Drosophila melanogaster: one gene and its partner. The protein of the gene in region 1 interacts with the protein of each later gene in a pairwise test. Each region holds a gene or a part of one and is shown in the gene's direction. Other genes may lie near its edges.

Region 1 (15,587 bases):
ATGACACAATGCTAATGATACAACCAACATTTTTTGACCAAACATTTTCGTATCTACTTCTATCTAAAATTTAGGTGCCTCACGCTGTTTTGCATTTGTCGAGTTTAAAACCGTTGAGGAGGCGACTCGTTGGATGGAGTTAACCCAGGTATCCCTAAAAACCACAAGAATCTTGAATCTTCTCGTATCCGCCAAAATAGAAATGACGGCAAGATCCGATAGCTTGGCATCAACTGTTGAAAAATGTGTGCCTTGAGTTCAATTCTGCTGGTGGGCTGCCTGTCCCTTCCATTTTTCTGTCTTAGATCAGGGAACTGAACTCAAAGGCGGAATCGAATCTTACGTAAAGGAAGCAACCAGCATCTGCGTGATGTCGAAAAACACAGATGCAATCTTGGTGACTGTGTAGTCTGTGAACGATTTGCCTGATCAGCAGTTTCAGTTACTAATTCCAATTTTACCTCTTCTATTTTTCCGTTCAGGGAGTCCTCCAACTGGGCGATCATCGTGTCACCATGCAGTATAGTCACACTCGCATCTCAGACTGGACTTGCATTAAGGTATGCTCCGTTAAGATACAGATTGGCAACAATAATTAGCTTTTTTCGCCATCCTTCAGTGTGGTGCCAGCAACTTTAAGCGCCGCTTCCAATGCTACATGTGCAATGCGTCGCGGGCGGAGAGCGAGAATGCTCTTTACGGAGCCGGCGAGGGCGTCGACGAGATCAGCCAAATCCTCACAAAAAGTATATCCACCATGAGCAATATCTTTCAATGCCGTTTCCTAGCTAATCAGCTAAATACCCCACTAACCTGCCACGCTTTCCCCATGCAGAGATCATGCTTCGCGGCTTGGACGCGCTGACAAACGAGGAGGGCGTGCTAACTGCCCTTCAGCAGCGCCTGCCCGAACTGGCCAAAACAGTCAGCAAGGTGCTGGTCAGTCGCGACGCCCTAACCAATGCATCTCGGGGCATTTGCTACCTCAATTTTGACACACTCATTGATTCTATGAACGTGTTCAACGGGCTGACGGCGTTGGATCCGCCACTCACTCTGGACGACAAAACAGGTAAATTATTACTTCTTAATTATTTCATAATTAAAAAACAAAACTTTAATCCATGCCCTTCAGTTATCGTCACCTACTGCATTGACTCCGAAAACCGTCAAATGATGCCAGCCGAAGGCAACTTTTTTAGAGCAGGTGAAACAGCGATGTCTCCGTCGGCCATTACGGCGGCCTACACTTTGGCGGATGTGCCTCGTCTTGCGGAGTACAGTGCATCCGTGTATGCCTCGAATCCGTTGGAGCATGCTAACTACGTCCAGTACTATACGGATTATTACACGACTGAAATAAGCAAGAACTGCAGAGATCGTCAAGTGACGGAGGCCAACTCCGGCGCTGCCGTTGCTCTCTCGGCCATCCAGCGCAAGCAACGGAAGGTCAGCCAGATGGAGACCACGGTTTCGGTGACAGAGGCGAAGGTCGCCTTCCTTGCCAGGGGTGAAAGTGCTCCCAAGGGGAATGATGGCAAGAAATACGGTAAGTGAGCGCACACTATTCTATCTATGCGCTCCTGTAATGTCGAATATTTCATGCTCAATGGTTAGATACTCCCGATGTGTCCAAGTACCAGTACGACGAGACCTCCGGCTACTACTACGACCACGTTACAGGACTCTACTATGATGCCCACTCGCAGTACTACTACAACAACGAGACGGGCGCGTATTTGTACTGGGATCAGAAGCGGAGCACCTATGTGCTGGCCACACCCGCTTCCACTCAGGCAGCCCTCAAGGAAGTATTAGCCGATGCCGAGAAAAAGGAGGAGGAGGCCAAAAAGGCAAAGGAGAAGGAAAAAGAAAAGGAGGAAGCTGGGGGGAAGCCCGACAAGGTGAAGGTGGCCAAGAAGATCGTCAAGGACATGGAGAAGTGGGCCAAGCAGCTAAACCAAAAAAAGGACTACACAGCAGTGGCAACGCCGCAGCCTATCCTGTCGGATACTGAGGCGGCCACCACCTCCCGTGCTTCCCAAGGGGCATATGCTGATGTGGGATTCTCAATCCTTGAGAAGAAGGAGCTTGGCAAGCTCAACGACTATGTACCGGAGGCAGGACCTCCAGCGATAAGCAAATTGGTTGGTGCTTATGGAGGACCTTCTGACTCGGAAGATGATAATAGTGCCAATCAGAAAGCACTTGAAGCTAGCGTTGGGACTAAACGAGCCATTAGCGATGAATCTGACTACGTGGACTTCCAAAAACTTACTTGCCTGCTCTGCATGCGTGCCTTCCAATCGCTGGACATCTTGCAGAAGCATTTGAAAATGTCGAATCTACACAAGGAGAATCTGGACAAGCTTAAACGGAATCCCGCAGTTGAGGCTGGCACGGATGAGGGTCTATCGTAAGTGGGAATATGCTGCTAGAATGGAGATAAACTCACTAATTTACTTACCCGTACTTAGCTATCGTGATCGTGCCAAGGAACGCAGGCTGAAGTACGGTGAGAGCGATCCTCCTCCACCAAATAGGAGCCGGGAGCGTTTCGAGCAAGAGATAAAGACTTTGCAGTCGCGCCAGAAGGATTCTTTTGGCGCCACTGCAGCCATGCCCATCAGTTCGACCAACGTGGGCAGCCGCCTGATGCAGAAGATGGGCTGGTCGGAGGGCCAGGGACTGGGCAAAAAGAACCAGGGACGCACCGAGATCATAGAGGTAGGAGTCGACGAGGGCGACGAATGGCAAAATATGGATAATTCAATGTCAATGTGTATCCACAGGCTGATGGTCGTTCTAACAACGTGGGGCTGGGCAACAACACTGGCCATATGGCGCCTGGGAACGACTACAAATCCTACATCAAAAAGATGATGAAGCAGCGTTATGAGAACGCCTGAGACTCTTCTTAAAGTGTATGATTTTATTCCGCTTGAATATAGGGGCATTTAAGCATTGTTGTTTACCTCGATTACACTTCCTCCACCTTGTCGCGTTCATTTAGCATTAGTTGCGAAGTTCAAATTGTAAATAGTTCGTAAATACAGTCTCAAATTAGGTTTAAATTTAAATTGTAAATGCTTTAAGTATGGAATTGTGCAAGGGAATCTAAATCTCGTCCATGTAGCCATGCTCATAGGCGTGACGAACGGTCTTGAAGATCTCCTGGTTCGCCTCATCGCCAGCGATGTCCAAGGACAACTGGTGGAAGGCGGGGCCGTGCATATCCGTCTCGAAGAGGCGGGACAACTCGGCGCAATCCTTCTCGGTGCCGAGCAGCCAGGGAAGGAAGTGCATGCATACCATTGGTCCGTAGAAGGCATATCGTTTGAAGTGGGCATTGAAGCGTTCGAAGCTGTATTCCTGTAGCAACTGGTCCACCCGATCGTCGGTCAACTCGTTCCGGTTTCGGCGCAGAACCAGTTCCAACATTTCGATCATGCTTCGATGGTACTTGCGCAACAAGTCGGCGTAGATCTCCTTCCTTCCTTCGGATGGCGTGTTCATGTACATAAAGAAGCTCAGGTCAATGGCCGTAGTGCTGAAGCGCAGCTCCTGGAAATCGATGGCTTTGATAGCGTCCACCTTATCTTCAGCGCCGTAGTGGAACAGCACGTTGTTCCTGTTGTAGTCGCCGTGCAGAAAGGTGGCAAAGTGGCTGTCCGGTTGATCTTCGGCAAAGGAGCTGGTGCGGATTCTCTCCAGCAGGAGAGTTGGCTGCTTGAAGTACTTCTCCCGCAGTCGCTCGATGGCGGCCCCGAATCCGGGGTCTGCCCCCTGGAGGAGCTGCTCCTTTTGCCGGTCGTAGAACTCGTAGAACCGATCGAAAGCCACGCGATAGAGGACATCAAAGATGCCCTTTCCTGAGCTGGACACGAAGGGCATGTCCACCACTCCGGCGCGCAAACGAGCATGAACGTTCGGCTGGAGGATTTTCGTGGCGTAGCCCAGAGCATGGAACGGACCCACTAGTCCTACCATGGCCTCCAGCTGATCCCGTCGAAGGGTTAGCCTTGGCCCCAATTGGTAGCCATCGCCCTTGAGATGCTTTAGGGCCAGCACCGATTCCCTACCATTCCCTAAACCTGCAGAAAAGTAAACATTCGATGTAGTCATGGATAAAGTCTTTGTGGGATGCGCACCTTCAACGTGGCCAAACCTGGCGAAGTAGCAACAGGGAACCCAGTTCTTTACCACTTCGCTTTCCAGGTGACTCGTCCGAAGCACATTCTCATAGGCGGGCAGGATCTCGGCGTAGGCGAAGATCTCGTTGGAAAACTGGATGTACGAGTTGCTGCTCTCCCGGAACTCTTCCGTTCCCTTCATGAATTTGACCAGGACGACCTCCGTCCGCTTGCGCTCGGCGATGACCACGTCCAGCGTAACGGTGTACAAGGCGGACATGAAGCCGTCCAGTCCATTGGAGCACTCAACGCTGTGCGATTCCAGCGAAGCACTCGGACCAAAGTTCTTGAAGATGTCGTACACCAGGTGGCGCTCTATATAGTCTAACTGCTGCTGTTGCGTCGACATCGTGACCTCCACGCAGGAATCAATTGCTATCTGAATGGGTAATCTTAACTGACAATATACGCAAGTAGGTGTATATTTGTCCGGGCAACCAATCAAAGTGGTATCGATAGCCACGCGCAGGATTTTGGTATATTCCCGGTTTCAGCGAAGTGGTCACACAGAATCGCGATTGAAACGTGCACCGCCGGCGTATTGCGCGTAAACATAAGACATTTCACGGGGAATTTTCTGGACTTTGCTAACTCAATGGGTCCCAGCCACATTCCTCCGCTGACCTACAAGGTCGTGGCCGAGTGCTCCGTCTCCAAAGCCCGGGCGGGACTGATGACCCTAAGGTGAGCGTCTGCAATAAGATAGGCCTTGAAAACTGTGACTAAGCCGCATTACCAACTCTCCTAAACAGGCACAGCGAGGTAAACACCCCGGTCTTTATGCCCGTGGGCACTCAGGGAACCTTGAAGGGCATCGTGCCGGACCAGCTCATCGAGCTGAACTGCCAGATTCTGCTGGGGAACACCTATCACCTGGGCCTGAGGCCCGGAATCGAGACACTGAAGAAAGCCGGTGGTCTGCACAAGTTTATGGGCTGGCCCAGGGCCATTCTAACAGATTCCGGTGGCTTTCAGATGGTTTCCCTGCTGCAGCTGGCCGAGATCGATGAGCACGGTGTGAACTTCCGGTCGCCCTTTGACAACAGCCAGTGCATGCTGACGCCGGAGCACTCCATCGAAATCCAGAACGCCATTGGTGGGGATATTATGATGCAGCTGGATGATGTGGTCAAGACCACAACAACTGGCCCCCGGGTGGAGGAGGCCATGGAGCGGACTATTCGCTGGGTGGATCGCTGCATAGAGGCCCATGCCCGCGACGATGACCAGTCGCTGTTCCCCATCGTCCAGGGAGGATTGGATGTGCCGCTGCGTCAGCGTTGCGTTTCCGCTCTCATGGAGCGCCAGGTTCGAGGCTTCGCCGTGGGCGGGCTAAGTGGTGGCGAGAGCAAGCACGACTTCTGGCGTATGGTGGACGTGTGCACTGGCTATCTGCCCAAGGACAAGCCGCGCTACCTGATGGGCGTGGGTTTTGCGGCGGATCTGGTGGTCTGCGTGGCCCTGGGCATCGATATGTTCGACTGTGTCTTCCCCACCCGGACAGCTCGATTTGGTTGCGCCCTGGTGGACAGTGGGCAGCTGAACCTGAAGCAGCCCAAGTACAAACTGGACATGGAGCCCATTGACAAGGACTGCGACTGCAGCACGTGTAGGCGTTACACACGCTCGTACCTGCACCACATCGCCACCAACGAGAGTGTCTCCAGCTCCCTGTTGAGCATACACAACGTGGCCTACCAGCTCAGGCTGATGAGGAGCATGCGGGAGGCCATTCAGCGCGATGAGTTCCCCCAGTTCGTCGCGGACTTTATGGCGAGACACTTCAAGGCGGAACCTGTTCCGGCTTGGATACGAGAAGCTCTGTCTGCCGTAAACATCCAGCTGCCTGCGGATCCGGAGAGGATTGATGAGCAGGACCAGAAGCCAAAGACCGAAAAGAGACGGGAAACAGAGGACGTGGCGGAGGAGCAGGTGGCCTCCAGCTAACATCATCACATAGCAACCTTTGTGTTTTGATAACCCAAAGTTCCGACTAAGAGGCATTTCTTAATTGACACATACGTTCATGTATTTTACATGTCAAATGTCATGTAAGTTATTTTCATAAGAATAAATACTTAATTAGACATAGAATAAAAAAGGAAAAATAAATTACATCATAAAATTCAATCATACTGTGTGGATACAATTTATTTTGCTTATTTTATTTTTTTGCTTAAAGTTAAGGTTAGTAGGTTAGTCTATCATACCCCATAGCAGGGTAGCAGAATACTGGTTTTCATCTCTGCTCTGCCCACGTTTGTTCCGCTCTTGCGTAAAGCTCTCGACTCGTTGTTACCTATGGGAAAAAGCTCCATGTAGCCATAGTATGACGCATAGTGCAAATCGGTGGCGATCGTGGATCTCGCGTGGAACGACCGACCAATTTGTGATATTCTACTTGATTTTCGCCTTTGCCACGGCCTCTTTTCGTCCGTTCTTAGAGTAGGTGTGCGGTATGAATGGAGATGATTGGGAAACCTCTCCACTTGGCTCGGAGCTCTCTTCAGTGCTTGGCGCATATCTGTTTTGGACTGAACTCTCTGGGGGACAAGAGATACCCGCGACTCGAGATCTCTGAGAGCGGGAGCGCGAGATCGGGGCAGTGAAGTGGTGCTGGTGCTGGTGGCGGTGGTGGTGGTGGTGGTGGTGCTGCTGCTGCTGCTGCTGGTTCGGTGGATCGTTCAGTGAGTCCCCAAGCGTTGTCGCGTCCACTTTATCGCTGTTTCTGTCGCGGATTCGAACCACTGACTAACGGTAGTGCTGCACGCATCTGGCGGTAAATTGGCAGCGAGAAGCCCGCGCTAATAATACATTCTGAAAGCCGTCGAAAGGATTGCGAGTCCATATCAAGCATACGCCCGATCAGCCGCCAATCGATTGTAAGGAGCCACCCGAATTTATTGCTTTTCCACTGACAATTAATCACGGACTTGCTGTGCGTGTGTGTGCGTTTGTGTGAGTGCTGGAGTGGCTAGTGTGTGTGTGTGTGTGTGATTTTGTCTCGTTTCGTTTGCCAAATGTGGTAAAAGCGAATAAAATAAAATGAAAAAACATTTCGAAGTCGACAAACAATCGTGCTTTTTATGGCGCTGTCGCCTTTGCTTGTGGCCAGGATTCCGATTGGAGCATTCGCGGGGAGCGGAAAGAACCGAAAAAACCCTTATATAAAGTATACGCCAAGTATACCTGCCAAGTCCAAAAGCGATATTATTTATATTTTTGTATTTGCCATCGTTTTTGGCTTTGGCCTGTGTGTTTTTGAATTTCATGGTTTCATTTCTTTAAATAAGTTTTATTTTTAGCACTTTTAGTTATTTTTGTGTATATGTTTTTTTTTTGTTCTCACCAATTTCGCTGCTGCTGAGTTCAGTTTGCCTGATTATTTTCCGAAATCTTCATGCCGATTCTTTGGAATATTCATATGGGGCTTCCATTCTAAATTCTACAGTGTGCTCACAATGTGTGAAGTGATTTGTGTTTTTGAAATTCGGTTTAGTTAAAGGTGCCCCTAGGGTGGACCACAAATCGGGGAATATATGTATGTGGAGAGATCAGAGGGAATCACTTTCAAAACACAAAATGTAGTACTTAGTGTGTATAGAGTTCAGCCAAACGAACCTTCCAAAATAATCCCATAAATAAACTACTCAAATGAGTATTTCTGCTTTTTTTGATGTCCACTAACTATTGCCTCATTTTTCAAACACTCAAATTCGCTGGCCACAAAATCATAAATAAAAAGTAAACACACAATGGAGCCGATTATGATTGAAGGCACTTGGCGAAAAAGACTGCTGGCCTCCAAACTTAAAGTCCCAGCCAAATACAAATACCAAGGCAAGTGGCCAATACCAAGTGGCAACAAATTACCAGCGAAGAGTGTAAAAATAAAAGGAAAACTCTGATGATTGCCGCTAATCATAATCACACCAGAATCTCTCTGTTCGAACCGCTGGCTTTTTGTTTTTGCCCAGTATTTATAAATTATGACACATTCGCGAGTGGAAGAGAAAAGATATGCGGAGGAGAGTACTTTTCGCATTTCTTCGCGCTGCCACTCTTCGAACAGCTGCTGCGTGGGCGGAAGACTGGCGGGGGCGTGGTCGCAGAATTGTTTTGACGGTCTTCGAGCCGCAGAACACATGCAAAGTTCGTCGTTTTTCGAAAAGAAAAAACGAGAGTGAGAGCTGGCGCCAATTAAGCAAGTAATTATGGCGAAAGACACAAGGAAATAAACTTTCGCGGCTTTGTTTGTGGAAATTGATTAATTTCAATCTCTCAGTCGTCAGCTAAAAAAAGCTCGTCTTAATTATATGAATTAATGAACCCTGTTTATAAGAGCGGAAATTAAAATACAGCTCATCACTCACTTGGGAAGATTCACTCACTTGGCAAGCTAACTGAAATCCAAAAAAGTGTATTAAATTGTAAATTAAATAAATTCAATGTTCCATAAGCCGAATACTCTGCAAATAATTCTACTAAAAGCCTGAGTAAACATCATTGCAACTTATTTTAATCAGAGTGCCCAACAAATCAACAACCATTTTTGCACTAGGAACGCATATTCCAAACAGCTGAAACAAGTTTTTCAATCTTTTGGTGAGGCAGCAATTTGAATTTAAAAATCTTTGCTAATAGTTATTCTATGCAAAATGGTTGTTTGCATAAATAAACGGAAACGGAATGCTTGCCTGCATGTTTTGCCGCCCAGAAATCAATGCTCTTTGCAAATTAGCACGAATTCCGGCGAAAACAGAGGTTCATCTGCAAGATAAACCGCGCCGGAAAAACAGAATCACCTCCAATCCCATGGAAATGGCTGAGTGCTGATTCACTTGTCCAAACGACGAGTAGCATTTCTCCAAAATCGAAAATGTTTGGCTGCGGATTGTGTGGGCGACTTGCTCCGCGTCCAAAGGTAAACTCGCTTAGTCATTGGACCTATTTTTGCAGCGGATTTGCGACTTGGAAACACCCACCCCAGAAATTGGTAGTTACCTTAGACCTTGGGCGGATTTTTGGACATCTAATGCTGCTTGGCCTAAACGATTTGCCTTCGGTCACGGCCGAATGTTCGATTCTTGTCGCAACCATTTTTATTCTGAGTGTGGGTGAACAAACTTCACGGTGTTTGATCGGTTTCTGGTTGGTTTCGAATGGTTTTAGGCCAAAAACATTGCCATTCAGCCAATCGCCATCAGTTGACAATGAATGGCTTTTGTTGGTGACTTTGAAAAATACAAATAAAGGGAAAAAACATGATTCGCATTCGTATCTTTGAGAGCGAGAGTAAAAGGCTGGACTTGAATGAGATTCATGGGATCAAGATTTTTGACAACCTTGAATGCTCAGATTTGTGGAATGTAGCAAAAGATAAATGAACGGAAAGTTACAAATTATTATGAAAAAAAAAGCTGGCAAGTACTTTTTTGAAATATACAAACATATATATATCTATCAGATACAAATTGGTAATGAAGTTTTGCTTAAGTAAGAGATGTAACGAAAGAGCTCTTCTAATCCAAAAAACTGGTGTATATAGTTCAAGTAAACTTTTGCCTATTTATCAATCAATTAGCTCTGGTTCGAATGTTTAAAGTGGCGATCGGGTTTGTTTATCCGAGGAGACAAATGTTGACTGTGGCATTAGTGAGTGATTTTATCTGAGAAACCTCAGGCCCCAGGCAATAAATAAGAGATCCGAATGGCCACACATAAATCACTCCACCAATTTGAAATTCGTTCATTATTAAATTCGGATTCTTTTAATTCCAATTTCCATTTCCATTTCTCAATTTTGGCATGTGGGCATTAGTTGAGGCACCGAACGGGATTGGGAATTAAAGTTGCCGAGTCGCGCACTAATAAATCAAGTTCAATTCAATTAGTGCAATCCGGGGACACAAACAGTTTTCATTTCCTCCAGCCCCAGTTGGCCTCTCATAACCTACGACAATTTATAATGCTGGCAGAAGTGGAAAGAAATGCAAATGCAGATTTGCAAAATGCAATAAACCGGGTGCGGCATGCAACGAAATGACAATGAAACGTTGCAAATGCAATTCACTAATAACGCAGCGTCCAATAAATTGTTAAACAAATGTTGTTCGGCAATCAATAAATGAGCTGCCGCCAGTGTCTGGTGAATAATACATGCGGAAGTGGGTGGCTCCGCCCACCCGAAACATGTTGTAACTGCCATAAAAAGCGGCTTTTTATGGCCGAAGTAATTTCCAATCGGCATGAATTTATTTTGCACCTTAAGCCCGCAATTTTGCACGAAACAATGGCTATAATTCAATAAAGAATCATAAAGAGAATTATTGAAACGCGTGCGAAAATCTCCGCCGTTAAAAAATACATAATTCAATTATCGGAGTATGCAAAACATACATATAAAACGCATAGCATAAACGCGCCTTGCGTAACATCTCTCGCATATCTCATTTTATTTATTTGCTAAAAAGACAGAAAAACTTTCTTTCAATAAACGAAAATGTTGGCAGTGTGTCGGGGGAAAATTCAGAAAAAAATATCAAAAATATCTGCGACCTTGTCCCCTGCTCGCTCAATATGGCACACATTTGGAAGCGATCCGGAATGTATCTCACGATCCGCGATCCGCCGGCAATTTTGTGCACAATGACTGCAATGACTGACTAATTTCTGGACGGGAATGGAATGGATTGGTTTGGAATGGCGCTGATCGCATCAATCGCCCGCTGTCAATATCGCCAATAGCAAATCTTGCGTGCTTCGTTCCCCTCCCCATGAAAATCTCAACTCAAGGCGCACATTTGGCGTCAAAATTGTCAACGCTATGTATCTCGAAATGATATTCCAAGATGAAATCAGTTAAGTCCAAGGCTGGAGAGCGTTTCGAGTACGGATTGCCGGCCGAGTGTTGACATCTTGAATGCTAATGAATTTTCGGGACGCGATCTTGAACTTGAGTGATGACAGGCCTTCTCAGTGCAATTAAGATCTCGGCGATCATCATGTTTATCATGGATCATAGAATGCCGAGATGTTATGATAGCTGTTGATCATAAAAACAAAAGAGATAAACTACTCGTAAATATATGTATTATATACAGACAATTTATAGTCGATGTTTTTTATTTCCATCCTCCTTAAAATCTTATTCCCGCCCAGTTATAACTATAAATGCGGCATGATTGTTGTGGTTGTGTACAGATTCTGTCAGATTCCCAAGATGATTAACTTTTCGCGATGAAAGGTCCAGTGATCTTCAGTAGATTGATTTATTAGGAAACCGCAGTTTCGTAGATCGAAGCAGGAACAGTTTTATGTTACAGCTGTCTCCACGCCCCTGATAGACTTGTCAACTGATCAAGCCATACGAATAGTTCGACGGGCTGTTCCAACCCCAGTGATCTCGGGATGTCATAAATGTCATCGTCAATTCCAATTCAAATGGCTCATGCTAAACTCAATTGGACACCCCAGATCTTCAGATCTCTCGGAGATGTTATCGTCAATGCAAATTGGCTCGCGAGCAATTCTCATCGCTGTAAACAAGCGAAAATATTAATAATATTAAGTAAATGGCTGAGTTAAATTATATTATATATTAAAGTATCCATCAATAAAGAGTGTGTGTATTTGGTAAGGGTGGTGAGAAGTGCGCATAGAAGAGCTTCAATGTTCCGGAAAGTGAATAAATACTTCTAGCTGGCCGGTCTAAAATTAGTGAAAGGCGTGGGCGGTTCAACATTGAAATTTAGTGACGCGTCTTATGATCCGAATGGAACTACCTATACACAGCTAAATGTATATATACACAATTTCTCGACTTTTTGCAGATCTTTTGCGATAGTAGAGCAGTGAAACAGCCAGAGAGAACGACAAGATGCATGTGCCATTATAAGGATAAAGGGAAGGATAGCAACTAAGCAGGTCCTCGTTATATATGGAAACCCAAAACTGATATTATTGTAGGTAACTAGATACGCTGAGAGAAGCGATCCCTTCTAATACCATACCCACTCCAATTGGCAGATACTAGACTACAGTGAACTTGAGAGTCAACTCTTTACCCACATACTTAGAACCCACTCGCCCCCGCCCCCAGAAGTAACCTGCAATGGGTAAGGACTACTACAAAATCCTGGGTCTGCCCAAAACTGCCACCGACGATGAGATCAAAAAGGCCTACAGGAAACTGGCCCTGCGTTATCATCCGGACAAAAACAAAGCCGCCAACGCCGAGGACAAGTTCAAGGAGGTCGCCGAGGCGTACGAGGTTCTTTCGGACAAGAGCAAGCGGGAGGTGTACGACAAATACGGCGAGGATGGTCTCAAGAGCGGAGGTATGCCAACACACCATTAAGTACCATTCCCATAGCTAACCTTGAAATGCTGACTTGCAGGCACACGAAACGGCGGTCCGTCGAGCAACTCGTTTACATATCAGTTCCACGGCGATCCGCGGGCCACCTTCGCCCAGTTCTTTGGCAACAGCAATCCGTTCGCCTCGTTCTTCGACATGGGCGACAACCTGTTCGACAAGAAGGTCTTCGATCTGGACACGGAACCCGATTTCTTCTCCTCGCCCTTTGGCGGCATTGGGTCGCGACATGGTCTGGGAAGTGGCTTCAGGTTGGTCCATCCCCGCGCAGGTTGTACTCCCTGGAATTCCTTGCTCATCTCTCGCAGGCCCTCTTTCAGATCACACTCCTTCAATGTGCACACGCCGTTCAAGAAGGAGCAGAAGCAGGATCCGCCCGTCGAACACGATCTCTATGTGACGCTGGAGGAGATCTACCACGGCTGTGTTAAGAAAATGAAAATCTCCCGGCGCATCGTTCAGGCGGACGGCAGTTCCCGCAAGGAGGAGAAGTTCCTGGCGATATCCATCAAGCCCGGCTGGAAGTCCGGCACCAAGGTCACCTTCCAGAAGGAGGGCGACCAGGCGCCCGGAAAAATTCCCGCCGACATTGTGTTCATCATCCGGGACAAGCCGCACGCCATGTTCAAGCGCGAGGGCAGCGATCTGCGCTACACGGCGAGACTGACGCTCAAGCAGGTGAGTCCTGATCCTGATCCTGATGTATCCAATAGCTTGGGATACTATAGACTATAGTATTAGCCCTTGCTGATTAAGCACCTCTTAACCAACGCACTGTGGTCATGTTCCTCCCAAGATTGGTGCCTCAATTCCACTTCATCTTAAGAGCCCAGTTCTCAGAGCTGGGTTCTCACAGCTTGGCGTCCAATTAGAGGCGCAGCCAGTGCCTAAATCGAATTGTAATGAAATCGGGCAGACGAGATGGTTATGGCCAGATTTACCATATATATACGCGCCGAGCGGCAAAGCAGCCGCCAAATTGGTCGACATGGTCAAGTTTCAATTAACGGAGACGGAGAATGGGTTTTGGCCAGCAGGCTGCTCCGTAGATTGGCTCCCACTGAGGTGTTAGATTTTTACACGGTCGCCGAAGCGCAAAACTTCGCACAGCATTTTTTGTGGGCAGCAGCCCACTTGGGGGTTAAAAATATATGGTCAGATTGAAAATTTTAAAAAGGCTCAAAACTGGCCGAGACTGGCGAACAAGCTGAAATGACACGCCGCTGAGTTGGCAGTCATGTTAAAATTGTTAATTGCATTAAGTAGATTAAATAGTTGAGTTGGCTGCCTCGCAGATTTTTAACATTTTATTGCTTGTTAGTGCGACAAATTTAGTAAATACTTTCGGGCTGCTCGCTCGCTGCCAGCCATTTTTGGCATAGTTGGCCAAATAATTTCCCACTGGCTCTGCTTTGAATTTATGAATTGCATTTTGGCTCTGGTTTTGAGCTAAAAGTGTCATGTTGCTCCCTCTATATAGCAATATTTGACACGGTTATTTGGCGCCGAGTGGACAATGCGAATGGTTTTAATTGAAATATATTTCGGCCTAAAAGCGCATACATACATATGTATGTATGTATGAATAATAAAAATATCTAGATTTACTTGCCAATCTGGTTGATAGAGGCCAATAAATCTGCGCTCCAAGATTCCGCTCGCCCCAATCGAGCAGCCAAAAGGCAATTGGAGCTCCATATATGACCATCCACATAATTGCGAACAGCGTTTTCCATTTTTTTTCTGTCATATTCTGTGCGGCAGTAAATTTAATGCGACTCATAAATTACATCATCGTTTACGATAATATCGAAGTCAATGAGTTTCGAATTAATTTCTTGCTGTACGTTTTTGGTCTTGTATTGTTTTCATTCTGATGATATATAGACTTAGCACGTATCCGTTTTGAATTTTAAATTCTCGCCAGTATGTACGTATGTACTTTCGAAATTTCGAAATCAAATTTAACAATGCTTTTGTTTTCAAGTGCCTGCGTCAGAGTTCCGCAAATGCAGCGAACTAAAACCGATGGACGATTCAAGGACTTCAAGGATGTGCGAGTGTAACCAGCACCATCCTGGTGCTGTGTGTAGTTGATGGCCAGACGTTGTTGTTTTCGATGTCTGCCCACTGGCATTGTCATTCGACTGTTGGCCCAAATGATTTGGAGTCCTTTATTTTTTATCCTTTTTTTTTTTGGTAAAAAATTGGAAGTTCTATAGAAAACCATTTGCTAGTCGAGAACTTCGTTTGCATTTTGATGACAGTTGTCAGCTGCTGGGCAAAAAAAGAGGCGGAATAATAATGCCTTATGACATGCGATTGAATGCTGTTGATTTGTTTTCACCCCCGCCTGAAAATCGGAAAAGTCCCACCTAAACCTTCACTTCTTTCGGCGAGAGTGATTGTCTAGAACAGTTTGGAAAAAAATGGCCAAAAGCGACCATAAACTGCAAGATATATGGGGGAATTTATGTTCGCTGTTCTCCGTTTAGCTGAGCCTGACATTCAGATTTATCATCTAGTAATGACTCTATACACTCAGAGAAAAAAGGGGCTAATTCAGCTTGAAATGAATATTATTACCACTGAAAATTATGATGATAATGAATTTGCACACTTGTTATTCCAAACTCATATCGAAAATGCATACTATTCACTAGCCAGCATTATCAACTGATTTTTTCTCAGTTCAGCTGAGAACGGGTTTCTATATCCTTATACTAAACTACCGATCCAGATACGGATTTATCGATGGAAGGGCATTTGTATGCCCTTTATTTTCGGATAGCGCCGCTCTGGTTTTTTATGTTCAGCTTCCGTAAAAGGTAGCAAAGTATTTAAGCTTTTTGTTTTTTTGGCGGCAACAACATTTTCAACATTTCCATTAAAAAATATTGATGCTGGTCGTCGTCATCATGGGGACAGGTTGTTGTTGTTGCTGTTTTCTGGGTCTGTCGTCATCAGTTTATGCTGTCATCGCTTCAAAATCGCCAGTCGGCGATACAAATGTACGC
Region 2 (16,369 bases), on another chromosome or scaffold:
GCACCAGCAACGAAACCGACGGCAGCAAAAAGACGACTAAGTATCTGAGAGATACGGCTCGGATGGCAAAAACATCGTGCTTCCAAGAATACACTAAAATTAACCCCAAAGATAAGTTTCGTATGGAAATAGCGGTTGGGTGTTAAACTTGGCTACAATTGGAAAGGTGGGGAGCTCGGCTGTGGAAGAGCATGTATTAGTGATGACACCGTTCGTGCCACTGTACCGTTCCCTATAAATTTGATAATCTATAAAAATAACAAGTAATTCCATAAATGATGCTGCTTATAATTTACTTTGTACTTTATAGAGACAGAAATAATAATGAACTACTTTTTTTTATCTATCTACTAGTAAAGTTAGTTTGGGCAATAAAGTAGGAAAGTCCATACTTTATTAAAATAAATTCAACTATAGTCATTTTGTTTCCGTTTAAATCTTTACTTAAAACTTTTATTTAAATAAGTGATTTTTTTTATGCGTTTTGCGTGTACATTTGCACAATAAGCTTTCTTAGAAGTTAATAATAATAATTGTAATAACATTACTAACAAAAATAATAATGAGATAAAATTCCATTTATAATACAATAAGAATAAAATTCATTATGTTATTGGCCCTTTGTTCAACTGTCTAGAACCATAGGATTTCTATATATGTTATATAATTATAGATATTATATTTATAGGCATGAATGTATAATGATTCATAATAATTCCAAAAAGTGTTTTAAAAACTATCAATAAACATTTCAATGACGCTTTCATTTTCACCCGCTGCATAATTATGTTGTGTGTTCGCCACCCATTTAAAATTTAATAGTACATTGAGATTTGCAATATTTTAAGTCCGGAGCTTGGGTATTCACATTAACTACCGCGTACATAGGTGTACAAATTCCACCGCTTAAATTCGCATCTGCCTTTCGTACACGTAATCATTTAATGGATTGTTTCACATGTGAGTGTAATTAAATCTACCAGTGTATAGCTTCAATTTCGTAGTAAATGTGGTCTATATTGCCTCGACGACCCAGTGTGAATAAATTTGACTAAAATCAACGAACGTTGACTTGGGAACGGATATGATATACATACGTCGATCAATCTATTTTCGTACGTTGCTACTTAACCTTTAGTTTGCTTTCAATTTAGTTACAACTACAACTTTCAACTGCTTGCATATATGCATATGTATTCTCTATAGTTTCCTTTAGCTAGCTGCGAGTGCAAGAGTGTAGGATCTGCACTTGTTATTCCTGTCTCAAAAATCTGCTAACGATCGCCAAAAGTACAAAATAAGGATATTGAATTCTATGCACAGCATCCTAATCAGAAGCTGGGTGACGGATGTGCCGCATCATATCCTCTACTCCTCATCCGAGTCGCCATCACTGGAGTAATGTGTGATTTGAGGGCGACGAATGAAAGGCGCCGTTATCACTTGTCTGAAAGAAAGTTTACAGGTTTAATTAGCATGTCTATGTCCGGAAGGAGAGCAAGTCATATTTACGCAATGCGGCGGTAGTGATTTAGCCACTCTTCCAGCATCTGGGCGACCAGCAAGGGACGCTTGCTTAGCTTTTGTTGCGCCACCAGTAGGCCTCCATCAGTTACGCACACGTCCAGCCATTGACGCATCATTGACTCCTCGTTGCCAACCTGCAGGCAAGGAACGGAAATGTCTAAGCTCACAATGTTCTACAGGATATTTGAATAAGCTCTCACCTCCGACTGTGTAAGGAAATGTATGGGCAAAAGTTTCAGCTCGCAGTCCATTAGCGGGAGATAGGTTACGTCCTCCACATCGTCACGCCGCCCATCGATGCGAGTGAATGGCTCCATCGGCACCAGGGCGCTGAAATGGCCACGTGTGTAGCCCAGTGCTATCGGTGACTTGGTGCAAAAGTTTTGATCCCAGAACAAAGGCAAGTAGACACCTAGAAATAAGGCAATCAAATAAATGCAATACAGCGACGTAAAAATTAATAGCTACCTTCGAAACGCGCGTATCCAATGTCCTCGCCCCGAAAACTCTTGACGTACTTCACGCCGTAAACGATAATCGGCCGACGAAGGATATGCGCCAGCGCAAAGATGTGCAGTTGCTCCAGGGACGAGCCGGGTTGGCCGGCCAATGACAGTAGTGTACTCCAGTCCTCCTCGAACTGAGAGTCCTCCAGCGTAAAGTGGAGCATCGAAGCCTGCAGCATCTCGTACTCTTTCCAGCGAGTAAAGAACCTACAATAAGAGTATCAAGACTATTAATAAGCTGACGGTTGTTAAAACAAATTCGTTTAACTTACACATGCCCGCACTGGTGCAGTGTGTCGGCGAGTGCCCGCCTAAGGATATTGTCACGATCGAAGACGCCCCAGGTGGCCTGCATGGCCGAGTCCAGCAGGCAGTCGCCAGCACTGCGGTTCCACAGTACAAACATCCGTGAGCTCAGGCGAGCAGTGATCTCCAGCGACCAATTCAAGGCCGGCGGCGGCGTCTCCAGCTGTTTCTGCGCGTCGCGGTCGAGCAGCTCATCGTAGAGCTGCTCCTGTATGGGTATCGGCAGCTCCTCAATCTCGGCGGGGAGGGCGAAGGTGGCGTGCTTTTGCACATAGTGGCAGGGTAGACCGGACTTGCGCAAGCGCAGGGTATTGGCAAAGTGGCGCCGGATATCGGCCGCCAAGTCGGGAGCCACGTAGGACGGCACACGCTTGATGCCCGGCCCCGAACCGGAGATCTGGTCCAGCAGCATCGGTAACATCTCCTCGCGATGAAAACGAATGGCCAGGTGGATCAGGGTGTGGCCCACGTCGAAGGCCGAGTTGCGGTTGAGGGCGGCAATCTCGGTGCTGGTCAACGAACGGGCTGGATTGCCACCGCAGGAGAGGTACGCCTCCACAGCGCTGTAGTTGTTCTCCACGACGCCCAGGCACGCATTCAGCCACTGCCAGTCCACCTGTCGTCGGATTTGACGCTGGCGGCGCTCCTGACGCTCTTGCAGCGTATCACAGTTGTTGATGGTTTCCGAAGAACCTGGAAAGTGAATATCAATTAGTCATACCCAGAGAAATCACATTAAAAACTCTTACCCAGTTGGTAAATGTGCTTCTTATTGAACGAGTTATTGACGCTGACGGTATCCACGTTTGGCTGCTGCAGTTGTTGCTGATTCTCCTCCTGACTGTTTAGGCTGGATGAGGCGTGCAAGTCGTTCTGCGACCCACTAATCTCCCGCTCCCTCGTCTTGCCGCACATGGAGCACTTGATGCTCCTCGGCCAGTTTTCGTAAGTGCAAGACTAAGGAAAATTCTAACTTTAAGTACATCTGAGCGAATTGGTTGGGATATGAAAACCTACGTTACACGCCCATTTGGAGACATAGCACTGCTTCTGCTGCTGCGGCGGGACGGCGGCGGAGGATGAGGATTCCCGCTGTTGCTGCGGCTGCAGCTGGAGCTGCATCTGCTGCTGTAGGACAGGCTGCCGGTGCTGGGACTGCGACTGGTTGTGAGACGCATTGGCGAGATTGTTCAGATGGGTCGCATCGTCTATGCCACGACTAAGGCTCAAACGATGGGAGGCCGTGGCGCCGATGAGCTGAACCGGCTTATTGGCCAGGTTCTCCTCCGAGCCGCTGATGCGAAGGGCTTGCAGCGCCTCTCCTGCACGATCCCCGTCCGCCTCGTTATCCATGTCCTTTTTGCCACGCTCTATCGCCTCGCCACCGCGCTTCGTGCAGCACTGAACGCAGCGCAGGCTCCGCGGCCAATTGAGATAGGTGCACACCTTGCAGGGCCACTTTTCGCTGTCCGCCACGTTGCTCTGCCGTGCCTGGCTCTGCGGCTGGAGCGAGTAGCACGTGGACGAAGGTGTGGGCGACATTACGGCTACTTCGACGGCAGCCGCCTCCTCCGCAACGGTGCAGCTCTCCTGGGCTGGACTCAGACTGCAAGAATTAGCAAGTATTAATTAGCAGAAGATTAGGTATAGATCGTCAGAGTTGTCATACCGGAAGATGTCCTCGTTGAGCAGCGGCTTGGACGCCTGGCACATGGTGCATTTCAGCGAGGATGGGTAGTTCTCGTAGGTGCAAGTTTCACATTTCCATTTCTGCGCATCGTCTTTGGTATCGCACATTGTTTATGCGCGGAGCCGGCCAATGCAGTTGATCTGCCAAGGAGAAAGGGATCATACGTTGAATATTTGATATGGGATACACGAGTGTCACCAAGTAAGGGGATCCCATAAAATATGCTTTTACTAGTCAAATCCACCTGGCTGCCTTTTTTACTTCAAAATAGTTTAATTTCTGAACAATTGTAAGCTTAGACAATCATTTTAGTCGAAGTTGGTTGAAGATACGAAGAGTTTGATCAATAATGTATAGCTATGTTGACTTTTGTCGGAAGTTAATGAGATGTTGCATTCAAAAGAAAAAGATTATCTAAAAACTAATATTGGATTTATAAGTACGCAGGGAAATCTACAATTTGGAGGACATTTCAATTTACCTTGACTTATTTTGCAAAGTATAAAGACTATATGCATGACTCGTTTTGGGGGACAACTATCTACCAATGAATGTATCTACTAAGCTACTATTCTTTGGATAAGCGAACCGAAAGGGTATCCCTAAAGTCGGTGAGCGGCGAATCCACCACTTCCGACTCGTTAATAAGGTCAAACAACGGTTAGCGAGGCAGAAGCAGTGTCCTTGACCCTGAGACATAATTCGCAGATACATCCACAGATATGTACATCTGCCTTGGCTCCATTTCCATTTCCCCCACTGGCGTCACAGTCAGCCTTCGGGTTCTCGTTGCCTGGGATTGGATTGGAATGAATTGGATAGGGTCTGGTTTTGGTAGTAGTGGTGGTATAGGTGGTAGTGGTTCAACTGCTGGGTCGGTTGCATTTATTTGTTGCCATTATAATTCGCCTATGTATGTATGGCATGTGTCGCGTGCGATGTACGTACGTATGTATGTACGCTGGTATGCCAGTTTTCGCGCTAGTTTCTTATTGGGATTCGCCCCGTGCCATCCCAACCATCCCACAACCGCCTCCACCCCCCTTCCCACATCGACGTCTTTACACAGTACCTGGCGCAGAAAATCGCAAGGCCTTTTGCAGCAGTCCCAGAAAACGCGAATGCGACTGCGACCACGACAGCGATTGGATTCGATTCGAATCGAGTCGATTTAAATATATAACACAATCACAATAGGGACCGCGAGTATAGCATTAGTATTATAGTAGCTATAAGGTGTAGTTGCTATAGTCGCCGTCGGCCACCCGCGCCCGCAGCAGCGACACTATGTCGACGTCGATCCAATATTGCCAGTAATGAGCGCTGGCAGCAGGCAGGAAAATCACAATTACAAAACAAAGACGATGAGAAAACTTTCACTCGATTTTCAGTTTGGGGGGTTTTCTTTCTTGCTTTCCTTCTCAATTTTCAGCTGTACTTGCTTGGGGCGCGTGAAACGAAACTGCCCGCACACATTCACGGCGACGAACACACGCACGGTGGATCGTAGTGCAAGGAATTTGGAATTTGGATTATTTGGAAACAGCTAATTATTTATTTTTTACATTATTGCGAGGCCAATCATCTGGTTCTCTGTCCGCCTATCGACAACTATCGGTGCTCCGTCCCTGGCGCTCAGTGTTGAAAAGTGTCTCGGTTAGCTGGTTAGTCAAGCTTCACACCTACTGGTGTTCAGTGGTTTTCATGGCAAGTCTTAGAGATCGGGGGATGGTCATACTAGTAAATAAAATGGCGGGAGCTGTACATGAATTTCATTTGGTAAACAAATTATATTCTTAAAATGGTAAGAACACGGCCGGTGCCGTGTGTTCCGTCGCCAGATGTGAACACCGCAACGAGACGCAATCCCGGGCGTCCCAAGAAACAGTCCATCGGAGCTGACTTAAGCACAACGATAAGCAAACCCGGGCGTCCCAAGAAGCTGTCCATCGGAGCTGATTTGACCACAATACGTAAACCCGGGCGTCCCAAGAAACTCGGAGCTGATTTGACCACGATAATACGAAAACCCGGGCGTCCCACGAAACTATCAAACAAACAATCTTTGACAGCCCTAAACGAGCCAGAGTGTCGCATAAGAAAATGCGTGGTAAAAATAAGGCGCATTAAGGTAAAAAACGGTGTCGTATCCGAAATTTCTCGAAATGATGCGCCTGATGTGGATGCCAGCACTTTTGAGCCGGCTCGCAACTCGACGATGTACATTCCTTCGAAGGTACAGAAATCAACGCAACCCCAAAATATCAAGGAAAATGTGGCAGGTAAGAGGCTCTCACCAGGCGGATGATGGACTTTTCTTGATAAGCACAACTACTTGCAGGTCCCGAAACATCGCCATGTCAGCAACGCATAAGGAGTAAAAGCCCTAGTGGACCGGCAGCTGAGATTTCGCCCAAAAAACCACCTCGTTTCTTCCACAGAGATCAGCCTTTAACCAGGACACGATCATCGGTGACCCGCAACGTTTTCGATTTTCTGTCGCAGTCGCAGATCGAAGATGACAGTGACAGGGAGGATCCGGCGGCAGACATAATTCAGCGTTTGGTTAAGGATGGAAAGGCCTGCGTAATGGTGCGGTCAAGAAAAATCGGCAAACCGAGAGCCAAAAGAACAGCAAAGAAGGTCCGACCTGTGGGTAATCGAAGAAAGGTTTCGACAAAAGACAATGAGCCTGAGCCAGTCAAGGTCGTTCCCAAGTCCATAGAACCGCGCCTTCAAAAGCCATCACGCTCCTTATCGACCATTTTCGAGCCCGAGGAAGATTATAGCAACGATTCGGAGCACGGATACGTGCAGCCCATCGAAGTGCCCGTCCAGGTACATGTGGAGCCGAGCACTTCTAAGCAAGCGCACGAAGGAGCCTACAGTAATTTGGCCCGATCCGTAATGCTTAACCAGACCCAGGCGCAAAATCCACTGCCATCTACAGACAGACGTCGAGAACTTATCAACATGGCGCGACAATTGGTTAGCACGCCGCTGAATCGCAGAGCTCCTCCGGTGACAGATGTTAGTGCCACCACCACTGCATTGTCGCCTATTGCCCACCAGTCTCCAAATGCAGTTAGGACCGCGGGAGGCAAATCCCCCTGGCGCGTTTCCGACGATTCACCATTGCCCAATACTTTCATGTTTGGTTTCAACAACTCCCAGATGCCATCGTACTCCAGTGATCATGTGCAACGTCGGCATGTCTATGTGCCAGATTCGCCGGTAGAGCATGCTGAGAACATCCCTCACGAGGAATCCATTTGTCCGCCTTTGCACGAGCAAAATCATGACTCAAATGCGAACGACTCGAATGAGGAGAACCGTCCCCCTCCCACAATTAGCAAATCGATGTCGATCAATGACCAGGAAAGCGAAGAGAATGCGGAGAACTTTGTGCACCTGCCGAATCCTCGGAGAACGCTGCAGAAACGAACGCCCTTTAAGGATATTAACATACTAGAAGTAGTGACACTGCCGTCTTGGAAGAAGAACGTGACGGCCACTGTTTCAAAAGAAATCACTCCTACCAGAGTGGCACCTCGTCCAATGGCGACGTCATCCCCAGCGCAACGCAGTCAAACGCGGTCGAATCTTTTTGGTTTCGATGATGATTTTGCATGTGAAGATATACCTAGAAAGTCAACTACTCCCTCAAAAGGTATCGCTCCTACCAGTATGTCCTTAAACAGAGAAGTGACTCCTGCTTTAGCTAATCGTAATCAAACGGAAGTAAATACTTTCGGATGCAACGAAATATTGCCCTGTGAAAATATACCAAAAGAAAAGGAAACGAATACGGAAGAACGAACATCATCTTCACAAAACCTCTTTGGATTCGATGAATTTATCACCGAAAGCCAAGATTCGCCAGCCAATTTCACGGGGCTGAGTCAAAATGTAAATCTGCATGATAAGCTCCATCGTCTTGCGGAGCTGCGACCCAGAGATGGTGAGCTTCCACAAGTATCATATACCTCTATTCGTTCCGATTGCCTGGGCGAATCACATTCGAAGCAAACCGACATCAGATATATGTTGTGCTCCACTATGATTGCGCCGCCCCGACCGGCGAAACGGAAACCTGCTGCACCCACTGCTAGGGAATCGATGGGATTGTTTAGGGTTGACCAGGACGAGCCGGAGCAATCATTTGCCGATAAGGTAGGATTTATGTAATGGGTTCGTCCAAGCGTTGGGAAAGCGTCGACACTGTAAACAGTGAGTGTAGACACTGACCTCATAACGCTAGATTAACTTAAAACTGAGACGTTAACGTTTTAGTTGAGCAAACAGGGCCGCAAAGATTTAAGTCTTTCTTTGATCGGTAGTAAGCCGCTCACACAAATAAAAATTTTAGTCGTAAGTCTGTAGTTTTGTATACAACATTTGAAATCTTTTATTTTGGCAAACGGCGCCTAATTGTTTTAAAAATTCAACCTGTTCTAGCAACCCAGACGAACCTATGTGAAGGAGCGTCCGCAACGTAAGCGAAAGAAGCGAGTGCAGATATTGTACATCGAAAGTGAAAGTGAGGACGAGGACGAGCAGGACTCGCACGACAAGAGCTTGGATTCTCCGGAGAAGAAGCGGCATCACGTTAAACGGCCACGCAGAGACATCGAGCATGAGGCTAAATTGGAGCAGTTCGTCACCAGTTTCAACAAGCAATGCGAGGAAGTGGAGAAGTTCCCAGTGATCATTGAATAATCGCATTGCCTGTTTATTATTTATATTTTTTTGTGTCGCTGATAAGGGGAAGTAGTCGTTTTTAATTTAATGTGCTTCGTTTTTATGAGTTATTTGTGGTACCTTATTGTTTTGTGTATAAATGTATTTAGGAAGATTGCGTTTCCTCGAATATTTATAAGGACAACAGTCTAATGTAACTAACCAAGTGCTTGCAGTGCACTTTATGCAATTCTAGGTTAAGCTAAGCATGTATTTTTATTATCAAAAGCTTGGATTATGTACAGCTTTGATGTTTCGGTATTATAGCCTATCATTATGACTAAACTAAATAAATGAAAAATCTTAATCTTTGTGAATTGAACTATTTGTTAGTCCAAGGGAAAATTTTTCCAAATGAAATAGAAGTCAATTTTATATCATACATAATTTCCATAAGGTGGACTTATTTTTATTGGTTTTTTCTTCAAATTTCTATTGAATCGATATCGATAAATATACATGTGCATAAGTCATACTTTAGAAAACATATTTTATTTAAAAGTTTAATAATTAAAACATAGGCTTCCTATTACCTAATTGGCCGTTTTATTGGTTACAATGGATGTTGGGGAGTTTCATATTTTTACTACACGTTGGGTCAAGCAAGACCGTCATGACCCGAGCCAATCTTGTTCAATAATGTTACGTACAAATTGTTCAAATTCGAATAAATTTTAAACAATATATAATCCGAAATGGGAATGGTATGGTTAAATATGACGAAAGTCGAAACTCAAAAAAAAACTAAAGTTAATTAAGAAATGAATTTGAAGCTTATACAGATGGGAAAGACTTCCAATCGCTTATACAAATCCAAAATTTTTGGATTTAATGGCCATCAGCATTTTACTGCGTAAAATAGATTTGCTGGAGTAAAGAGGGATATACAGCCGAGAGATACAAGTATTCGCAGTCGGTAGATGGGAGTCATCCGCAGGTCTTATGGTGACAGATGGCAATGGTTGGAATCCCTCCTCCGAAGCTGGAAGCGCAGGAGAGCCGGTCCAGAAGTAAACCTGCAAGAATTGTGTTTGTTATGAATGTTTGAAGCTCATTGGACCATCTTTCTTCTTACCAAATCCTGGCGTTCCATAATGTTCATTTTCTCCACAATACTCCAAAACCATTTCTTAAATTTTAAAAGTTTATCAGGACCCTCGCTAGATTCGTCGTTAAAGGTAGTGTATGAAATTAGTGTCGAAACATTTATATCACCAACACCGTTTAGCAGCAGACGCAAGTCCTCAGCGGTTAAGTTAATCATGCTGTTATCGGGCAAAACGTCAAAAACTCCGTCCTTCAGTGCCTGTGAATGGTAGACAATATTTTGTTGTAATAAGGCTATACATTTTTACGCAATATTTGCCCATACCTCCAGTGCCTTTTCTTGGGATTTGATTAGTCTATATTCTGTATAGCGTCTGACGTACTCGAATATATTACTCGATGTGACAGCGACATCGCGCCCTCCTGGGATAAGCTCTCTGTTACCACAGCCCTCCTCCTTCATCAAATCGATACTGAAATGGCAGGTTATTTAGAGCCTAAACTATCAAGTAAGGTGGGATTACTTACACAAAGCATAGCTCCATACGATTTATAGTTTCCTCGCCTTCCTTTGTTTGGGCATTTTGAATAATTTGTCTAAAAGATTCGTACAATGCTGGATCGAAAAATGCCAAGTCGTGGAACTTAATTTTACGCCCAAGAATGTATTTTAGTACATGTCTTTGTAGGAACAGTGGAAGCAATTCGTTTTGCAGTAGACAAAGTCCAATAAGTCTGAGAAAAGAGATAGGCGGCGTTAAAGCAGTGAATCGAATAAGGGAGCACTTAGCTTACCTTCCAATATTTCTAAATGCATTAATGCGCTCGAATGATGCAAAGCCTTGGCGTGGTGTGTAAAAGCCCCGCTTTCCCGGTGAGTAAAATAATGGTTCATTATCATCATCAACGGGATCCACTACCACGACAGATGGTGATTTTTTTGGTTGACTACTTTGTGCACTGGTCTCAGATTTTTGTTTAAACGTGATTATTTCTATCGCTTCATTCACTTTCTGACGGAGCGTCTCATCTGAGGAAATTACGGACAGGAGCTGCGGAGTGGGTATCTCCAGCAGCATTCCTGTTATCTTCGGTGCATGCGTTTGGTTTATCGAATGGATCTGTTGATCAAGTCGGACTGTTAATATTATGAACTTCAATTGGATTAATTCGCTTACCTTCGGGTAAAGACGTTCCCCAATTTGTTGTAGGTGAACGGACAAGTGATCATTCAGGCTTTCCGGCGTAGCATTATCTAAATTTGCAGTTCCAATAAGTGGGTCAATATAATACATAGAACAAGATTGATTTTATAGATTACCTGAGCTATTTGGTGGAGTATACGGTCTGGCATCCAAATTCAATGCCTTCCTCTCACGGGCCGAACGCCACAATATTTTGCTGTTGGAACCACGCCTCTGCAGAGTGGACTGATCGCGACTAGACCCCGATACTGTTCTGCTGCGCAGGATGCTCGAGAACGGCACTACGTACTTGCTATGATTGGTGCCCACCTGTACGGACTCCAAGTTGGGGATCTTAGCACTGGCCAGCAATGCTTCTGCGATCGATGTGTAAAAACTGCGCGCTACACCCGATCCCTCGCCCGGCTCGTCTTTGAATGTCACCTTTACTCTGTTGAATGTGATGGGCGGCTGGATGCGCCGACTTTGGTTGCCAAACTGGGTATTCAGTTCCTTGAACGTTTGAACAATTAAGCTTTCACGATTGCGCTCCAACTTGCAAAGCACCAAATCACGTTGTTGTCCGTTGCGCAATTTTTCCATGTGGCGACGGAAACGCATCTCCTTCACGGGAAAGCCTCGCAGTTCCGGCAGCACAGAGCCGTGTTCCATTCCGACGTCGTCCATAAAAACGCGACCGAATAAGTCCAGAGTTAGCTTCCAGCGGCTAAGTAAAAAGTTCCACGACGGCAATTCCGAAAAATTACTTTGGTAAAACTGAGAACCACGAGCAGGAAATAATAACAGGTGGTCTGATGTTGACTTTTGATATTGTGTATCACATTTGGCTTGTTCTGCGGTCGATAGATTTGAAGCCGAGTAGTTGTTTATGTCGGAATCAATTGTCTTTAAACAGGAACCACCTGCGAGAACTATGACGCTGCGAGCGGCAGTCGCTGGCGACACTGAGGCTTTATTTGGCGCTATGATAACCTCTGGTCGTGTGGCCATTAATGCTTCAGTCGATTTACTTGTACTTGGAAGACTGTCATCAGTTTCCATTAATACGACTTTTTCGTACTTGCTTTGATTGCCTGTGGATTGAAAATTTAATGTTTGTAAATTGTTTACCGCATACACTCTTACTCACCGTCAGCCTCTTTGTGGGATTTGAAATCATCCGAGCCCTGTTTCTTCTTTAATTGTACGTAAATATTAGAGTCTGTTGAGCCCTCAGCCTTATTAGTTACATTTCCATCACCCGTCTTACTAGAATCGATCGGGACTGTTTCGTAAACACGCTCGTTCCTTTTCAAGGAATTCGAGAATCCCAGTCTAGTTGGAGTATAATCAAAAATGCTGCCACCATCACCATCATTAGTGGCACCGCTGTTGTTGGCATTCGTGGTCACGAGAAGCGGTAGGTTTGCGAAGAGTTCCTGACGCTTAGAATTTGGTTGTAGCAAGTGCGGCTTATCGGCGAGAGGCATGGCCATATCCAGTGGCAATTCAAAGCCTTCTGGCGCTGAGCAGCCCAAGCTTAATGTCGATTCAGATCGAGCAAAGAATGCATGGCGGCGTGTGCCCTGGCTTCCTGAAGGCATGCTGCTAGCGGACATCTGAACATCGGCGTTAAACTCCTCTAGATTAGCCAACTCGTCGTCCGTATCATAGCTCTCAGTCATAGGTGACAAATTGTTTATACGGCCAGAAATGGTATCTTGCTTATCATAGAAGCCTGAATCATTGCGCATATAGTAGACAAAGGCATCGAGTACATAGGCAATGTGCCGCAAGGCTGTTATATCCAACACTGGCAAGGCGTCTCGGTGCTCAGAGGTGTGTGAGCGCATCAGGGATAAACAGTAGGTGAAGAAGTCGCGGCGTGAATTGGATCCTTTGGATACGAAACTTAGTAATAATCGTAAAGCAAGTACATGGTCTTACTTACCCATAATATTTACACCATTAACTGACGACGATGTGGCAGGAGCCGGAGTCTGGCTACTCGAAGCCTGGGCACTTAGGTTGAGCGGATGCAGCGGATGGTTGGGATCCGTGTAGTTGGTCAAATAAGCTCCGAACTTTAGCTGTGCTTCGGTACCGTCCATTACCGTAAACATCCAATCCCACGTAGCCTTTAAACGCTTTTCCACAAATGCCTGTAAAATTTAAATTTAAATTGCAATTATATTCAGTAGTACGCAGAGCGAAATTAATTCATTTCGGAATTATTTTATTCGGTACTTACTTGGACTGCGATTGCTTCATCATTTTGAATTTTTAATGATGTTTCGATGTCATTTAGTACGTTATAGGATAAAATGCTTATAAGCTCGGATATTTGCCTTATTGTGATTCCGAAAGCCCGTGCCAAGTTGCTGGCCGTTGTCGCCATGGTGTGTGGTTCAATCGATGGGGTAGTGACTGTAGTGCTGGCGGGTACAGTGGAGCGGCGCAGAGCCATGGGGTCAATAAAAACCATATTAGACCCGGTGGGCACCCTCACGGAGGAGCGCGCAGTGTCACGACTGCGTATGGCCCATTGCATCGTTTGAGGAGCCAGATCGCTGCGAGCGTTCGAGTTGGTAGAGCGGCGTTCAAGTTGCTGCTCATTGAAATTGAACTCGTCGGACTGATCGTCGGACTCGCCATCCTCCGATCCATCTTCTTCTTGGGCAGAGGAGTCTCCCGATTCATCCTCTAGGAAGAGAACACCAATGTCTAAAAGAAAACATATTCAATGAAGTAAATAGAAAATTAAGTCAAATTCAAGAAACTAACCATTTTCTGAGCCAACGGTTGCTCCTGCTTGCACGCTCCTCTGCACCTCTTGATTGCTTTGGTTGTCATCGGAGTCGGACTCAGTCTCGGCGTCATTGAAAGTAAAGTCATTATCGCTCTCGTCATCTTGCATGCCGTCCTCATTTCGTTGATTTTCAATTAGCTCATCGTCTTGATTGTGGGAATTAGCCTCCCGGTTTATAACTTCTTCCGATTCGGAGGCGTCGCGTATAGCTGGATTTCAATGTACATTTCATAAGGGTTTGTACAATTTCATATAGCTATTTTCTAAAACTATAAGAAAACTACTCACTTTCCATAGCAACTACATCGTAGTTTTGTTGAATATTAAAATTGGCGCTCTGATCGTTTCCAGCATCGTGGACAAGTATTTGCTCAGAAGGAGACTCCACGTTAGAGGGGGCTAAAGGATCAACGCTGAACAAATCGTCAGAGTTCTAAAAGAATATGATAATTGTCATTAAACTAGTTAAATTAGTATGGATTGGTCGCAAATCTATAATCTTATAGAAAGGCTGGTCATATTTACACGTACATCCAGATTCGACGATGACATCGTAAACGGAGCTGTTGGACGCACAACGCCCAGTCGGACTGGAGCGATCAGAGCCTCGGATACCTCACATAACTCCTCGATGGATATCTTGTGCAGCGTTTGGAATACTTTAACACAGCTCTGCACGTATTTGTTGCAGGATGAGTGCGACTTTCGCTTCTCCGGATTAGGCTGCTTTTCCAGGTTGAAAATGACAAAAACGCGTGCTACGGAACGCACGAAGCGACGCACTACTTCCTCAGCTTCCTTGCTACGATTGGACACGCTTGCGTTCTGCAATTCGCGCACCAGGGTGAGTAGCAAAGTGTCCAAATGATCGCTAGTGCACTTTACGATCAAACTGTGGGTAAACTTGTCGAGAAGCGTAGAGCCATGCTGCGTCTGGATAAACATATTAAAGCCTTCCGAATTAGAGTTCTCCGATGCACTGCCTGCTGGATTCGGTACATCGCCTCTCTCCGCACCGCTCATGATCATTGAGCGCACGGCGTTCCAGTCGATCAGTAGTCTCTCCAAAGCCTTTCTGGCGAACTTCGGTGGCTCCAGATCATGGTCCGGCATATCATTATCAATTTCGGCTGCGGAGGTCTTCCGATTTGATATCACTGAATTGTTTCCGGTCGCTCCGGTGGCAGCGGTGCTAACATTGCGAACCCTTACACTAAAGCGGTACTGTCGCTGCTCTACAATCTGGCGTCCAACCGTTTGAATAAGGAAAAGAAGAATCGATTCACCCTTGGAGTTAAATTTGGTGACCAAATCTGTGCAGGATACTAGTTTGCACAGCAGTGCGAAGCGCTTTGTGAGATTTCCAGCGATCAGAGCCTTACACTTGCATTTCTCCCAACAATCACAGTAAGCAGTCGGCGCCGTACGCTTCAACTTGCAGTCGTGTCCTTTGTGGCAGACTCTCGCGCATTCCGTGCAGCAGCACAGGGATCCAGTGAGGCCGCATGTCTTGCACTCGAAAATGTTCTGGTTGATGTGATCGGCTCCTGTCCATGTGAACGAGCAGGTATCATTGTAGCAGATGACATGCAGAGGTGACTGATCCGCAGGTGAACCATTCGGGAAAATCATGGCCTCCTTTAGCTGCGGATCCTGCTCGGACAGCATGAGAATCGTGTTTAGTAGTATGATTCCTGCCTCGTAGGCGCGACACGAAACGGATAGCATAAACGGCGTTTGGCCCTGCGCATCCTTAGTGCTCAGCATATGGCAGAGGTACGGACGAAGGGCTGGACTTACGCACATCTGCTGAAGGATTGTCAAAGCATGCTCCCGCCGCTGAGCCAGGTCGAAGGTGTAGGTAGGGGACCCCAACTTGATGTTGGAGAGCATGGAACTCTGGGAGGAGGACGGAATTATCTTTGAGATATCATCTTCAATGCTGTCTGAGACATTCTGCGAAGAGCTGGCGCTCAGATTACTAGCCGCCGGTGTTTCAGCTGGCCAGGGGATGTAGGCATGGTCTTCGTTGTTTGTAGCCATTGGCTGGCTGCCAGACTGTTCAGCCTGATCGCTATTTATTAGACGATTCATCATGTCGCGCAGATTGGTACGATTATCCCTGCTCGTCGATGAGGCGGAGCCGGCAGCGGATGAACTCATAGTTGCAAAGCTGGAGTTTTCATTGCTCGAAGACGCACTTGCTCCAAATGCGATGCTGCTAACGTAAGCGCTTGTCGAGACAGTTGGAATGGAACGCGCCACGGAGAGTCCCACTAGTGATTTCTTCTCGACACCACCGCTGGGAGAGTCTGGTGGGGAATCCTTGTTTGAGGATGGGGCGCACATAATTACGCAAGCGTGGAATATGTTTCGGGCTCCATCGCAACGTTCTTCTACGACAAGAGCCGTATCCGCTTGATCCTCCCTCTCCAGGCGACCGAGGGCGGCAAAGCTATTCTTGACATCGCACCGCAAGATGTGCGGCATAAGCTTTTGAGTATCAAAGAGCAAAGCAGTCATGCATACCTTTGACTTCAAATTCACGCCGGAGAGCATG

What was found.
Region 2: the proteins of CG5001 (region 1) and dmt interact in a two-hybrid assay, tested with the Drosophila melanogaster proteins (one large-scale study listed by BioGRID).

The regions. Positions count from the first base shown.
Region 1 is NT_033779.5:1,179,378-1,194,964, forward strand, and holds the start of CG5001 (uncharacterized protein), read left to right. Parts: upstream 1-6,379; 5' UTR 6,380-6,638; intron 6,639-6,876; exon of another isoform or gene 6,877-7,075; intron 7,076-12,025; 5' UTR 12,026-12,157; exon of another isoform or gene 12,158-12,161; intron 12,162-12,221; 5' UTR 12,222-12,306; coding exon 12,307-12,532; intron 12,533-12,592; coding exon 12,593-12,821; intron 12,822-12,878; coding exon 12,879-13,248; intron 13,249-15,587. Other genes in the region: CG4896 (uncharacterized protein), read left to right, coding at 75-148, 483-560, 620-746, 836-1,072, 1,136-1,549, 1,618-2,416, 2,478-2,727, 2,793-2,909; CG5126 (uncharacterized protein), read right to left, coding at 3,118-4,094, 4,152-4,542; Tgt (tRNA-guanine transglycosylase), read left to right, coding at 4,789-4,877, 4,946-6,140.
Region 2 is NT_033777.3:9,705,380-9,721,748, forward strand, and holds dmt (dalmatian), read left to right. Parts: upstream 1-5,762; 5' UTR 5,763-5,830; coding exon 5,831-6,311; intron 6,312-6,370; coding exon 6,371-8,202; intron 8,203-8,227; exon of another isoform or gene 8,228-8,386; intron 8,387-8,487; coding exon 8,488-8,748; 3' UTR 8,749-9,296; downstream 9,297-16,369. Other genes in the region: trbd (trabid), read right to left, coding at 1,369-1,447, 1,513-1,661, 1,728-1,939, 1,996-2,240, 2,306-3,032, 3,089-3,296, 3,357-3,945, 4,009-4,136; hyd (hyperplastic discs), read right to left, coding at 9,573-9,785, 9,845-10,075, 10,142-10,289, 10,345-10,551, 10,612-10,937, 10,995-11,071, 11,138-12,094, 12,151-12,897 and 5 more. UniProt on the Drosophila melanogaster protein: Regulator of sister chromatid cohesion in mitosis. Probably involved in development of the central nervous system.